Linked DNA regions of Ovis aries. The protein of the gene in region 2 purifies or fractionates together with the protein of the main gene of each other region. This does not show direct contact. Links are inferred from orthologs where the notes say so. Each region holds a gene or a part of one and is shown on either strand. Other genes may lie near its edges.

Region 1 (4,146 bases), on a different chromosome or scaffold from region 2:
TTAAAAAGTATTTTACAGGGACTTCCCTGGTGGTCCAGTGGTATAAGATTTCACCTTCTGATGTAGGGGGTGTGGGTTTGATGAAGACCCCCTGGAGGAGGGCATGGCAATCTCCTCCGCTGTTCTTGCCTGGAGAATCCCATGGACAGAGGAGCCTGGTGGGCTACAGTCCACAGGGTTGCAAAGAATTGGACACAACTGAAGCGACTTAGCATACATGCATGGGAAGCTAAGATCCCAGATGCCTTGCAGCCAAAAAACCAAAGCATAAAACAGAAGCAATATTATAAAAACTTCCATAAAGACTAAAAATGGTCTACATCAAAAACAATCTAAAAAGAAAAAGAAAAGTATGTTACACACTCAAAAGAAAAAATGTAGAAGAGCATTCAGCTTCAAACATTAAACAAGGTCTCGTTCTAGTGAAAAATGAGGAAGTTTGGGGGAAATATTACTTAACAGCACATCTTGAAATACAAGAGAGAAGGAAACAAAGGTTGAAAGGTTCTAAAAAATTTGATAGCTTAGCATCAATTGAACAAAAACCATATTCTCTACTAACTACAGATGATAAAAGATACAACGCAATTATCAACACTCACAATGGACTTAAGTTTGATGTCCCAAATGCTAAAAGGTAGGCCCTGTATGTCAAAAGGCACAGACAAGTCCGCATGAAGGCAAAACACCAATGAAATGATTTATTCTCTCATCTAAGGCCCATCAAATAGATACATCTGGAACATCTTTGGACACAGACTGATTTTTGTACCTCAACCAGCACTTTGGGATCTTGGACAAGAAGCCTGGAAATGTTTGATTTGTTCAGGATCAAGATTGCTGGAGATGACTAGGAGGAGTCAAAGAGAAGGGGGAGGGTTTGGGGAGGGGAGGCAGTGGATCCCAAGTCCGCTGTTCACTTCTTGCCTCTGATTCCCTAGGAGCCTCCTGCCTGTGCTCAGTGGGGATCACCCACTGACAATACTGATGACCTCTGTGTTTTGGTCTCAGAGCTTTTGGGCCTTTCATTCTCTGTCAGTATGTTTCTGCCCCACATGAAGATCAACACGGCTTCCCTGTCTCATTAACCCCTTTGGGGACTATTTAAGCTAAGTCAGGGTGGCCTTCCTGGGAAAACTACAAGGACAGAAACATTACCAGGCATTCGTGTCTGCATGCATTGGGAGCACAGGCCACATCCTGCAAGGACCTTCTTCCAATAGTCCTCCCCTCTCTGTCCATCCATCCACCCCAACCCTTTTGTGGCAGAGGCGGAGCAGAGAGGGGAGGGGGGAATTGAACCCTAGGGCAGTAGCCAAGCTGCTAAACTGCTGACCTGGTTTTCACTGAAGTGCGAGAAGGAGGCTGTGAGGCAGGTAGACAACATCCTGTTGTTGGGGCGCTCCTTTCTCTTTTTTGAACATCTGGCTGAACAGGGAGGCAGGTGGCTGAGTCGTGCCTGGTTGCGGCGGCAGCAGCAACAGCGGCCTTTCCCTGCTACTGTCCCCTGGCCATGGACGCGGTGGCTGTGTATCATGGCAAGATCAGCCGGGAGACGGGGGAGAAGCTCCTGCTCGCCACGGGCCTGGATGGCAGCTATCTGCTGAGGGACAGCGAGAGTGTTCCCGGCGTGTACTGTCTGTGTGTGCTGTGAGTACATGACGGGGCCCTGGAGCCCCCACTGCCCACCGTGCGGCTCACGTCCCTCACTGGGGTTGTCTCGCCTGGGCTTCCTGCTCTTCAGAGGGTCTTCTCCAGCGCCTTTGGGGGCGGCTGTAGGAATGCTCTTTGCAGTGGAGGAAAAGGAGCCTAGAATTTACCTTTGCTGCCAAAAGGACTCAGGCTCCTGGCTTCAGGTTGGACCTCTGGTAGAGGCCAGCAAGGTGGAGGCCTGGGATGAGGGAATGGCCAGATATAGGGCCACCAGCTCCTCAGAGGAGAGGCCTTTCTCTCCAGCCCTCTGGCAATGGCTTTGAAGGTATCTTCCCAAAGGAAGATTTCAAATTCAAGGAGAGGAAGAAGACTAAGAAATGGAATCCTTTAAGACAGCAATACCAGTTAGGTCAGGATGTGGGAGAGAGGGACGTTTCTGAATAAAACCACCTCTCTGGATTTGCTTAATTAGCTTTCTTTACAGGAGTTGGAGGGGGGTGGGGTGGGGTTTCAGAAATAGGGCCTTTCCGTGATAAACGCTGGGAGAGACAATAGTCGTAAAGGACATGGAGGGAAAGCACCCTGGTATGATTCAGCTTTGCCCTTTACCTAAGCATCTCTTGGTCTAAAGCCCCATTTTGAATCAGATGCACCTTCATCTTTGCTCCAGGGCTCCAGGGTCAGGCAGAGCTAAGACCTAATCTTGTGCTAGTCTGATGCTGGCTTTGGCAAGTTAACCTCACAGTCCCTCAGTTTTCTTGTCCAAAAAGTGTAATATTACTACCTACCTCATAGGACTGAGCATTAAATGCTGTAATGCACGTAGAAAATTTAGCACTGGACCTGATGCATACTAAGTGTTCAGTAAAAGTAAGCTGTTGTTGTTATTATTTTTTCACTCTCTTTCAGTACTTTTTATTATAATATATTATATATATATATAAAATGTATATATATTTCAGTCAATATCTTTAAGTACTCACGGGGTGTTTCTAAGGAAGTCCCTAGCTCAATCACTCTTTGTTAGCAGGGTAAAAACACTCATGAAAGCAGCAGCCCTGTACAGTAGCTTCTAGACAGAAACAAAATGAGGGAAAATGCTTGGTTGTAATTTTGGTGTCTGATGATACATGGCAAGATTTTGAAGTTCCTTTAGGTCATTGATGAGAGATTGTATTGAGCCTGGTGTTAGAGGATTTTCATTGTTTATTGTATTATTTTTAAATGGGCAAGGCATATTTGTGGCAACTCTCAGGCCATGCTAAAAACGTTTGTTATAAAAGCTACAAGGGATATATGTGCAAGCTAGTGAATCCCTTGGGCTCAGATTTTAGGTTTTCCTTATATTATTGTTTCTCGAAAGTGAAAACTGGGGTAGGTCAGTGAAAGCCAACTCGTATTCCTAGGCTCTTTTCTTATCAATAGAAGGTGGAGGAGTGAGTGAACTGGTGAGAGGAGCTTCTTTAGGAAAGCTCACCAAAGGAGGTAATGGGACCCTCAACCTAGAGGTAAAAATTAAGGTACAAAAGGCCTGGGAAGGGAAGGAAGAGCCGGGGACAGTGTGTGGCAGGATGTTCCTAAGACTTCAGACGCACTGGCCTCTTTGTTGTTTCTCGAGCTTGCCAAGCTGCTCCTTGCTTAGGATCTTCACACTTAACTGTTCCTTCTCCCTCTTCTCTCAGAGAGGACTTCCTTGACTAGCCTCTAAAATAAGTCCCTTCTCCCTGTCCCAGTTATAATCTGTCACTTTAGTTTTCTTCTGGGAGCTTTCAGCTGTCTGACGTTTGCTTGTCTACTTTTGTCTTGCTGGGCTCTCCTGCTACAATGTAATCTCTCTGGGGCAGAGACACCATCTCCCGCACCAGGAACACAGCCTGGCATGCAACAGGTATCATGAGGCATGCAACAGGCACTCAATAAATGTTTCTGAATTAATGAATGAACTGTCAAGGCAAATTCTTTATGGCAGTAGGCTTTTGGGCTGATATCAGGAGGCCAGGATGTGGCCTCTGGGACATCACTCAACTTTTGTAGGTCTTGGTTTCCATATTTCTAAAACAAGAATAATAATGTGTGCTCTATCTTCTGCAGAAGATTATAGTTGGTAAAAGATGCAAGAGAGAAGGATAATCTTAGCCTATTACTCAAATTGGCCAGGGCCACGTAAGGAATTAACTTAGACAGATGGGAAATTCGCAGATTAAGTTTTTGTCCAAAGTGAATCTTGCCTAAATGCAGTTTTTATGACTGTAGGTTCTCCATGCAAACCTTTTTATGAAGTAGCAGAAAATAGTCGGCAAATTGGGAGTCCCCCTAACATATCTTTCAGTGGGCACACTGGGCCTCCAAGTCCTAGAGGCTAATGGCCAGACTGCTGCAGAGGGAAGACACAATGATACAGTGCCTTTTATGACAGTTTCTCAGCTTTTTTTTGAGCCAAGGATCCCTTCTGATAAACGTAAACATTTCATTTCCTCTTTTTTAGTACTACAC
Region 2 (3,513 bases):
AAGCAAGCTGAAGAGGTCTGAGTTGAAAGGCCTGAGAACCAGGAAAGCTGATGGTGGAAGTTCCAGTCCAAATGCAAGGCAGAAGGCTAATGTCTCAGATCAAAGACAGTCAGGCAGTGAGAGAGAATAGATTCTCCCTTACTCTGCCTTTTTTTATATTCAGATTTTCAATTGATTTGATGATGCCCCCCACGTGGAGGGGAGGATTAATCTGCTTTACAAGGTGTATCAATTCAAATGCTTATCTCATCCTTCACACTCACGTCCTGAATAATGCTTAACCAAATATCTGGGCAACCCATGTCCCAGTTAAGTTGACACACAAAATGAACCATTACAGAGGGATACAGAAGGAAAACTTAGCCATAAAAAAAATATGTGGTTCCTGAAGTGGAGTCTAAAGAAAAATGCCCCAGAAGTCTAGTCCTTACAGAAAGAACATGTTCCAACACTCCATTGGAAGAGTGTGTCTGCACAGCTGAGACCCACGGCTCTGACATCTTTCCATGCCACACAGTGATATAGGGTTGGGCTGGTCCAGCCAGGTATACCCTGAACAAATGTTTGCAGGCAAAGGGACAAACAGAGCCTGAAATGCAGTCCACACTCTATATATCAAGTCATGCACTTGAATGAGAGGCTTATCTGCCCAAGGTGTAGGGGTCTGGGTGAGGCCATGCACCAGGGCTTCTCCCATATATTGAGTGTGAACAGAGGCTCTTAAGTGGTGTGTCATGGCAGGTTACAGGTGTGTAAATATTGATCCTCCACATATGAGGTTGCTGGGAAGAGTCATCTCCTCCAGTCATATACAGCCTCCAGCCATGAGCAATCTTGATTGTTTATTCCATTTTATCATAAAAATTATTTTCTCCATGTGTTGCAGTGTGAAGAAGGATGAGAAGCACTGTGCCAAGGGATCTGCCTTGCTATTTGTTAGGAAGTGAGGCATCTTAGAAAGGGCATGATGCATTTGTCTATTTCAGTACAAGTTATGCCCAGCAACAGAGTGTCTCCTTCTTTGCTTACATTTGGAATCTGGTGATCTGTAATCTCTGGGTAAGATCTGGGCAGAGCAAGTCTAGGTCTGGATCATCTGCCAGTATGTGTGGTTGCAGCTCAGTTTCTGTGGGGAGAATTCCATCTGGAAACCTAGATCACAATTTCATAGCATGAAGTCCCAAGCGGTTTGCTGTTCTGAATGCTGGTTTTCTCCATCTGTACAAAAGGGAGAAGAGGGAAATGCTGACTTAAAGGCACTGCTTGGGATTTCCAGTCCCACAGGGAGCCTTTAGAAAGACATCTTAGATTTCCCTGGTTCTGGGGTACTCTGTGGGTAGCAGGATCTTGCCCTTTGCTGAGTCCCTCACCTCTGTTCCAGTCACTCCATTTGGAAGCGCTCTTAACTCAGAAAAAACCGCAGGTGGGGATGTGGGTATCTCCATTGATTTTGATTATAAGCTTGAAGCGACATTCAGGCTCATGTGACCTGCCTTCCTTGTTCCTAGTTAAGTCTTCATTTCTCCTTTACCCCAATAACTTCACCTTGGCTTATATGTAGTGGTGAGTCACTTTCACTAATTCTAAGTATTTACTTAGAATACTGCAGACAACTCTTCAACTGGCTCAGGGAGTCCTAGGTTTTAAATTACGTACTAACCAAACTAGTAATTGCCAACCAACTTGGGTAGAGAGTTTACTATGAGATGTCTCAATCCAGGAGTCCCTGATTAATCCCTCAAATCTACTACTTTCCAGTGTATTTTCTTCTGTTTCCTCCTACTCTCCTTCTAATCCTGGTGCAGACATGCTGGCGCCCTGCTTTTCACTTGCTTCTCTTTCCCCTCCCACCCCACCCCCCTCTCCCTGCCCTTTCCTCACTCATTTTCTTCCTTTTCTTCTTTCTCCTTCCATCTTTGGTCCTTGAGGAAGTCAAAGTCCTTCTGTCTTATTCTCCAGGGCACTTGGTTTATCTTGACATTCAAACTGACCTGTACATTGAGTTCCCTTATGACCTTCCGACTTGTCTAGCTTACAGATGACTCATAGAATCAACTTTTAATTCTTATTCATGAATTCATTTGCATTCCATTTTGACATCCCAATATTTCATCCCACTCGTTGCTTGTTATCATTATCATCCCTTTCTCCCCAGGAATCTGGGTTCAAATTTATCTTTCATGGTTAGCTTCCTGCCTATTAGCTCAGCTATTCGACAGAAACACTTCCAAAATGTTTGATTCACCCAGAGACCCCAAAGCTGTCCTAATTGTGGTGGAAACAAAGACTTTCAGATAATAACAACACCGAAGCAGGTTCCCCAAGCTGAAAGTCCTGTCAAAGGCCAGGACCTGCCTTCCCTCTTTGCTTATTTGAGAGAAGGATGCTGGGGCACAGGGAACATGAGTATCACTAGAGCACTACAAATGCTTGCACAGGTGGCACAGTGTGAAGGTCTGCTGAGGGAACCAGTGGGAACTGGGATCCAACCTGTGTTCTACCTGCCTATCTGTGCATCTGGTGTGGCCCTGTGTCTGCCTGGGGCATGGCAGACCTGCCTTCCAATTTATACACTGTGAGCTAGCAATGGCCCTGGATGTTATTAGAGGCTGAAGTTTCCCCACTGCAGTTCAGAGACCTAGGTGCTCCTTCATAGAAAAGCTGGGAACAGCAATCAAGGAAGCCAGCTTGTAAATGGCCTTGGACCTGGGAAGCAGAGCTGTGTGCATGTGTGGAAGGAGATCAAGGCTCTCAGCAATTAATCTTGAGAAGCACAGGGTCCCAAGGGAACCAGTTTACTCCTGTTTGGTTAGATAAGATGCCAAAGAAAAGTTGGAACAGACAGGACAACAGTGATAAAAATCAGAAAGACTTTACCTTATCAGAGTACTGCATCATGGAGTAAATTGTGTTCACTGGCTCCTCCTTGGTGGGGAGCACCTGTAAAACACCCATCTTGCCCTCAGTGAGGGAGCCCAGGCAAATCTCTTACTTCTGCCTCTGTCCATCAGCCCTCCCTGCTCTCACTTTCACTAAGTGGTTTCCTCTCCCAGCTTCACCTTTGGTTCCATCCAGGTGGAGAGCATCCGGGTCAAGTTGGGGTGGGTATAGGTAGCAATTGGACAAGAACCTCAGAAGCCAAGAAGAACAGTCTGGTTGTTCAGACTGAGTCTTGCTTAATCAGAATTTTAGCTTTTCATAGGCTCTATGAACCCAGCTGAACTATTGGTCCAAGTACAGGGCTGGATTGACCAGGCAGACCTCAATTTCCCTTTCTCTCCTTGGAGACTTCAGAAGAGCAGGCTGGTAGAAGCACAGAGGAAGGTGATGCCATGAGGAAGCCTGGTTCTGGGTGGAGGTGAGGGAGGGGCAGGCAGGTAAAAGGAAGGTGGGAGGGCAGGCTGTGGGACAGAGTGAATCAGCCTATGGAAAATAAGCTGCTGCTGCAGCCAGACCAAGAAGTCAAGTTCAAGTGGACCTCTCTCAGTTTTGTGTCCTTGAAACTCCCTTAGC
Region 3 (4,031 bases), about 2.4 Mb from region 2:
GAGCTCTTCCATGTTAATGAAGTTTTGATTTTCTTCTGTCGGTTTGTCGTTAACAGTTTTTTTGTTGTTGTTCTTGTTATAATGGTCATATTTAGCCATCTGTTCTTTTTCGTTTTCTGGTTTTGTGTCTTGTTAGAAAGACTTTCTCAATTCCAGGAATATTTTTTAATAGTTCATGTTTTCTTTTAATATACATGGTTTCATTTAGAAAAAAGAAGTTCTGTATTAGAACCACTTTGAATTAACTTTAAGAAGTAAGAAAGGGATTCAGGTTATTTTTTCTAAGTGACCAGTCAAGGGTTCCAACACAGTTAATTATCATTCATCTTTTCCTCACTAATTCGAGATGATCTTTTGAATATAAAGTAAATTCCATATGTATTTCACTTTATTTCTACCAGACTCTATATTCCAAATATTTGATTGATCTCTCAGTACCAAACTCTTTTAATTATTGCAGTAATTACTGTAGTAATGTATTTTAGTATTTAGTAAAGCTAGTCTCCCTTCTTTTAATAAAAAACTTTTCTGGCTCTCTAGCAGGTTCCCTGTGTTTTATTTCCCATCTGGATAAACTTTACTATCTTTGAAGAGAAAATTTAAGATTCTGTTGATTTTTTTTTACTGAAAAAATGCTGAATTTATAGATTAATTATGGTGAACTGGTAAGTTTCTAAATGGAATTCTTCCTTTCATTTAAGTCTTCTAGTAAGCTCCCCAGTGGATACTTAAGTTTGCACATTTCATATTATATTTATTCCTAAGTATTATTAATTATTGCTGATGTAAATGAGGTGTATTATATTTTCTTACTAGTTATTATTTCAGTATGGAAGCTGTTGATTTTTAGATTTCAATGATAAAAGCTGTTATCTCTACTGAATTTCTTAAAGATTTTAGTAGGTTTTTTTTTTCAGTTAAATCTAGATTTCAAAGGTATAAAGTCATGTTAACTGTAAATAATAATTTTACATCTTCCTTTTCAATTTTTACATTTATTTCTTTTGATTAATTACACTTGCTGATATCTCCTGGAAAATGTTACATAGTAGTACTCACAATTACTTTGGCTCATTCGTGATGTTAGGGATAATTCTTCCAGGGCTTCATCTGGTGGTAAGGAAGCATCTGTCTGGCTATATATGGTTAGGAGTGTGTAAGTGAGTGCATGCATGTGCACATGTGAGTATGTGTTTAATTGAGGGGTAGATGCTGAATTTTATTTAATATCATTTAAGCAAATCTGAATGAGTTATACAGTTTGCAACATCTGACCTATTAATACACAATTAAACTAATAATTTTCCTGACATAGAACCATCCTTAATTTCTTAGATTGGACCATAGTATATTTTAGCATAGTGTATTTTCTGCTTTAATGTTTTACTGGCTTCTCTTTTGTTAGTAGTTTATTGAAAATTAATAGTAAATGAAATTTAAATTGGTCTGTAGCTTTCTTGTGTTTGTGCGTCTTTTTTTGAAAAAAAAAAAAAAGTTTTACCTGCATACACAGAAATTGGAAAAAATCAGTAGAAAGAAGACAACAACTCAAGCTAAAAATGGGTAAAGGATATGATGATGCAGTTCTCAAAAGAAGAATTAGTGATGGCTAAAAAATACATGAAAGCACTCTCAACATCACTTGTAACTTGAATTCAAACTGCTAACACCTGAAGACTGCCTTTCTTATATCTGGATTCCTGGTGTCACATAAAGAAAGAAGGACATCCCTGTCTATTCTGTCAGTAATAGCACTCTTTCTTCCCCAGTTCTAAGAAGCACTGAAGCTTATCCTTGGAGACACTTGGGTTTTAATTCTTGTAAAAGGTAAAGAAAAATTCAGTGGTCTCCACAAACAGGAGAATCCTTTAAAGATAGTTGATTTCCCCTGATATCTGTTTAAGATTGGTTTTTAAACTGGGATAAGCAACTTCCTTCAGCAGTATGGCTCTGATGCTCTGGCTTAAAGTTTCACATGGAACTCAGCTTCTTTGGAAACACCAGATGTGTTGTAACACAAGCAAGTTGTTGCACACACCCCAGGGTCTGTTTCTACATCGACAAAATGGTGGCTTGCCTTGACAGACTACAAGCAGGACGAAGGGAAATAATGTCTGCCGAAGCCTTCTACAAATGTAACGAAGTTTGAAATGTTATTAGTATCTTAAAAATCACAAGCCGAGCCAGCCATGTAAAACCTTGGCTTCTCAGGTTAAAATTTCATGTTTTCCTTACTAAATAAATCAGCCTCCATAGGAGAGGAACTTTCTCGCATGGCTGCCTTCTCTCCTCTCTGCTCCCTTCCTATATTGCTTGAAGCCTTATCCTCCCACCACCCCCGCTTCTGCTGCTCCACAGTGTCTGCGTGTGGAGGGAAGGAAAGGTAAAGGAGTTTAGACAGACATGTTCCTTCCATTTCCTCGTGGCAGTGTCTAGCTATTTCTCATTGTGCTCGTCTGGGCTGCAAAGTCAGTGAGGAACAGTTTCTTTTCCACCTGGTTATCAGTCCTACACTTAACATATGCATGGAAGGTGAGGCTACTCACGAGACGCAGAGGCACAGGACCCCGGGCATCGACTCGCTGTCTCTTAACAGATAGTTGCCATCCACTCCTTCCTTGAGCAGCAAGGTCTCACAGTCTCGCTTGGACAGAGGGCCATGGTAATAAGGCAGATCCATGGGGAGCCCTCCGGTACCCCAAGATGAGGGACGAATCTGAGGAGAGAACTGGAGGCAGCTGGCCTAAATGGGGCCTGTGGAAATACCTCTTCTTGCTCTGGCTCATAGGAGTGAGACAAGTTTATTCTGTGGGACTCAGATAGTTTCACAAGATTCAGGAAATGAGAGAGGTGGGGTGATAAAGTGACCAAGACACTTCAGCCTATAAGTGGCCTAAGTATGACTCACGGAAGTGGGTTAAACTATGTCTGAAATACACAGTGGAATCAACAATGTCTGTGGTTCAAGCTCAATGCTGAACACAAGCTCCTCAGAATTGGTTGCAGCCATCCTTGTATTTCACCCTAAGTCACCAGTTTTCTGCTTCTCTGGCTCGTGGCATCCCTTCCAAGGATGCTTTTGGCTGAAAGGGGATCCCATCTCCTGCTGAAGCCACCCATGGGTATGCTGTGCTCAGCTCAGAACAGGTGCTCAAAAAAAGTGTACAGATGCTGAATGAATCCAGGTATATCCAGAGGCAGTGGAACAATCGAAAGGTAGGACATCCATGGATCAAATGACATGAGACGTGTAAGACAGTGATGGGAATAGGAAGCACTGGGCACTGTGGGGGAGGATGGTCCAGGGGGAGTATCGCCTGGCTAGGGCGCCTAGTCGCTGGCGAATAAAGGCCATTTTTAACACCTTCTAGCATTGAGCCTTTTGGGGAAGGAGCTGGTGCACATGGGAGGGAGATCTGGATATGCACAATTAGTGTAGGAATGTTTCTCCAACTGGAAGAAAAAAACATATTAGGCTTTGATTTGAAAAACCTCACGTCCTTTGAGGTTTCCATCCTTTGGGGCATCAGTAATGTTCCTTATAAAGAAAAGTCTATCCAGCCCAGGACACTTAGCCACCCTGGTGTTGACAAGAAAAATCTTTTCTACTGACCCTTTTCTACTTAGGTCAACTGATATTCTTGGAAAAGATTGTTTCTGTTTTCTGAGGATCAGAATTAATCCTAAATGTAATTTCTAAGACTGTTTTCCCTGTTGACATACAGTTGACATGTAACATTCTAAAAATTTGAGGTATAACCATTTAATTTCCTATTTGCAAATGATTACTACCACAGCATTAGCTAACATGGCCATCTTGTCACATACTTACTATTTCTTTATTGTTGTGAGAACATATAAGATCTACTGTTGTAGCAACTTTCATGTAGTATTACTCCTTGTAATCACCATGCTGTACTTCAGATTCCCAAAATGTATTCATCATTTCCTCCAAGGCTTTTTGAGGAACTAAGCCATCCTACACAGTAGTATTTTTTATGTTCAAGTAAATCTTTATTTACAAAAAGAGG

Evidence for each region.
Region 1: the proteins of CD84 (region 2) and SH2D1A purify together in Homo sapiens (affinity purification with western blotting; 4 studies listed by BioGRID and IntAct, with this or other methods). This does not show direct contact. The link is inferred for Ovis aries from reciprocal best matches to the Homo sapiens genes CD84 and SH2D1A.
Region 3: the proteins of CD84 (region 2) and SH2D1B purify together in Homo sapiens (affinity purification with western blotting; 3 studies listed by BioGRID and IntAct, with this or other methods). This does not show direct contact. The link is inferred for Ovis aries from reciprocal best matches to the Homo sapiens genes CD84 and SH2D1B.

The regions. Positions count from the first base shown.
Region 1 is NC_056080.1:108,291,162-108,295,307, forward strand, and holds the start of SH2D1A (SH2 domain-containing protein 1A), read left to right. Parts: upstream 1-1,338; 5' UTR 1,339-1,513; coding exon 1,514-1,650; intron 1,651-4,146.
Region 2 is NC_056054.1:111,591,726-111,595,238, forward strand, and holds part of CD84 (SLAM family member 5), read right to left. Parts: intron 2,941-3,513; coding exon 2,878-2,940; intron 1,219-2,877; coding exon 1,153-1,218; 3' UTR 1-1,152. UniProt on the Homo sapiens protein: Self-ligand receptor of the signaling lymphocytic activation molecule (SLAM) family.
Region 3 is NC_056054.1:113,946,655-113,950,685, forward strand, and holds the start of SH2D1B (SH2 domain-containing protein 1B), read right to left. Parts: upstream 2,809-4,031; 5' UTR 2,681-2,808; coding exon 2,547-2,680; intron 1-2,546. UniProt on the Homo sapiens protein: Cytoplasmic adapter regulating receptors of the signaling lymphocytic activation molecule (SLAM) family such as CD84, SLAMF1, LY9 and CD244. In SLAM signaling seems to cooperate with SH2D1A/SAP.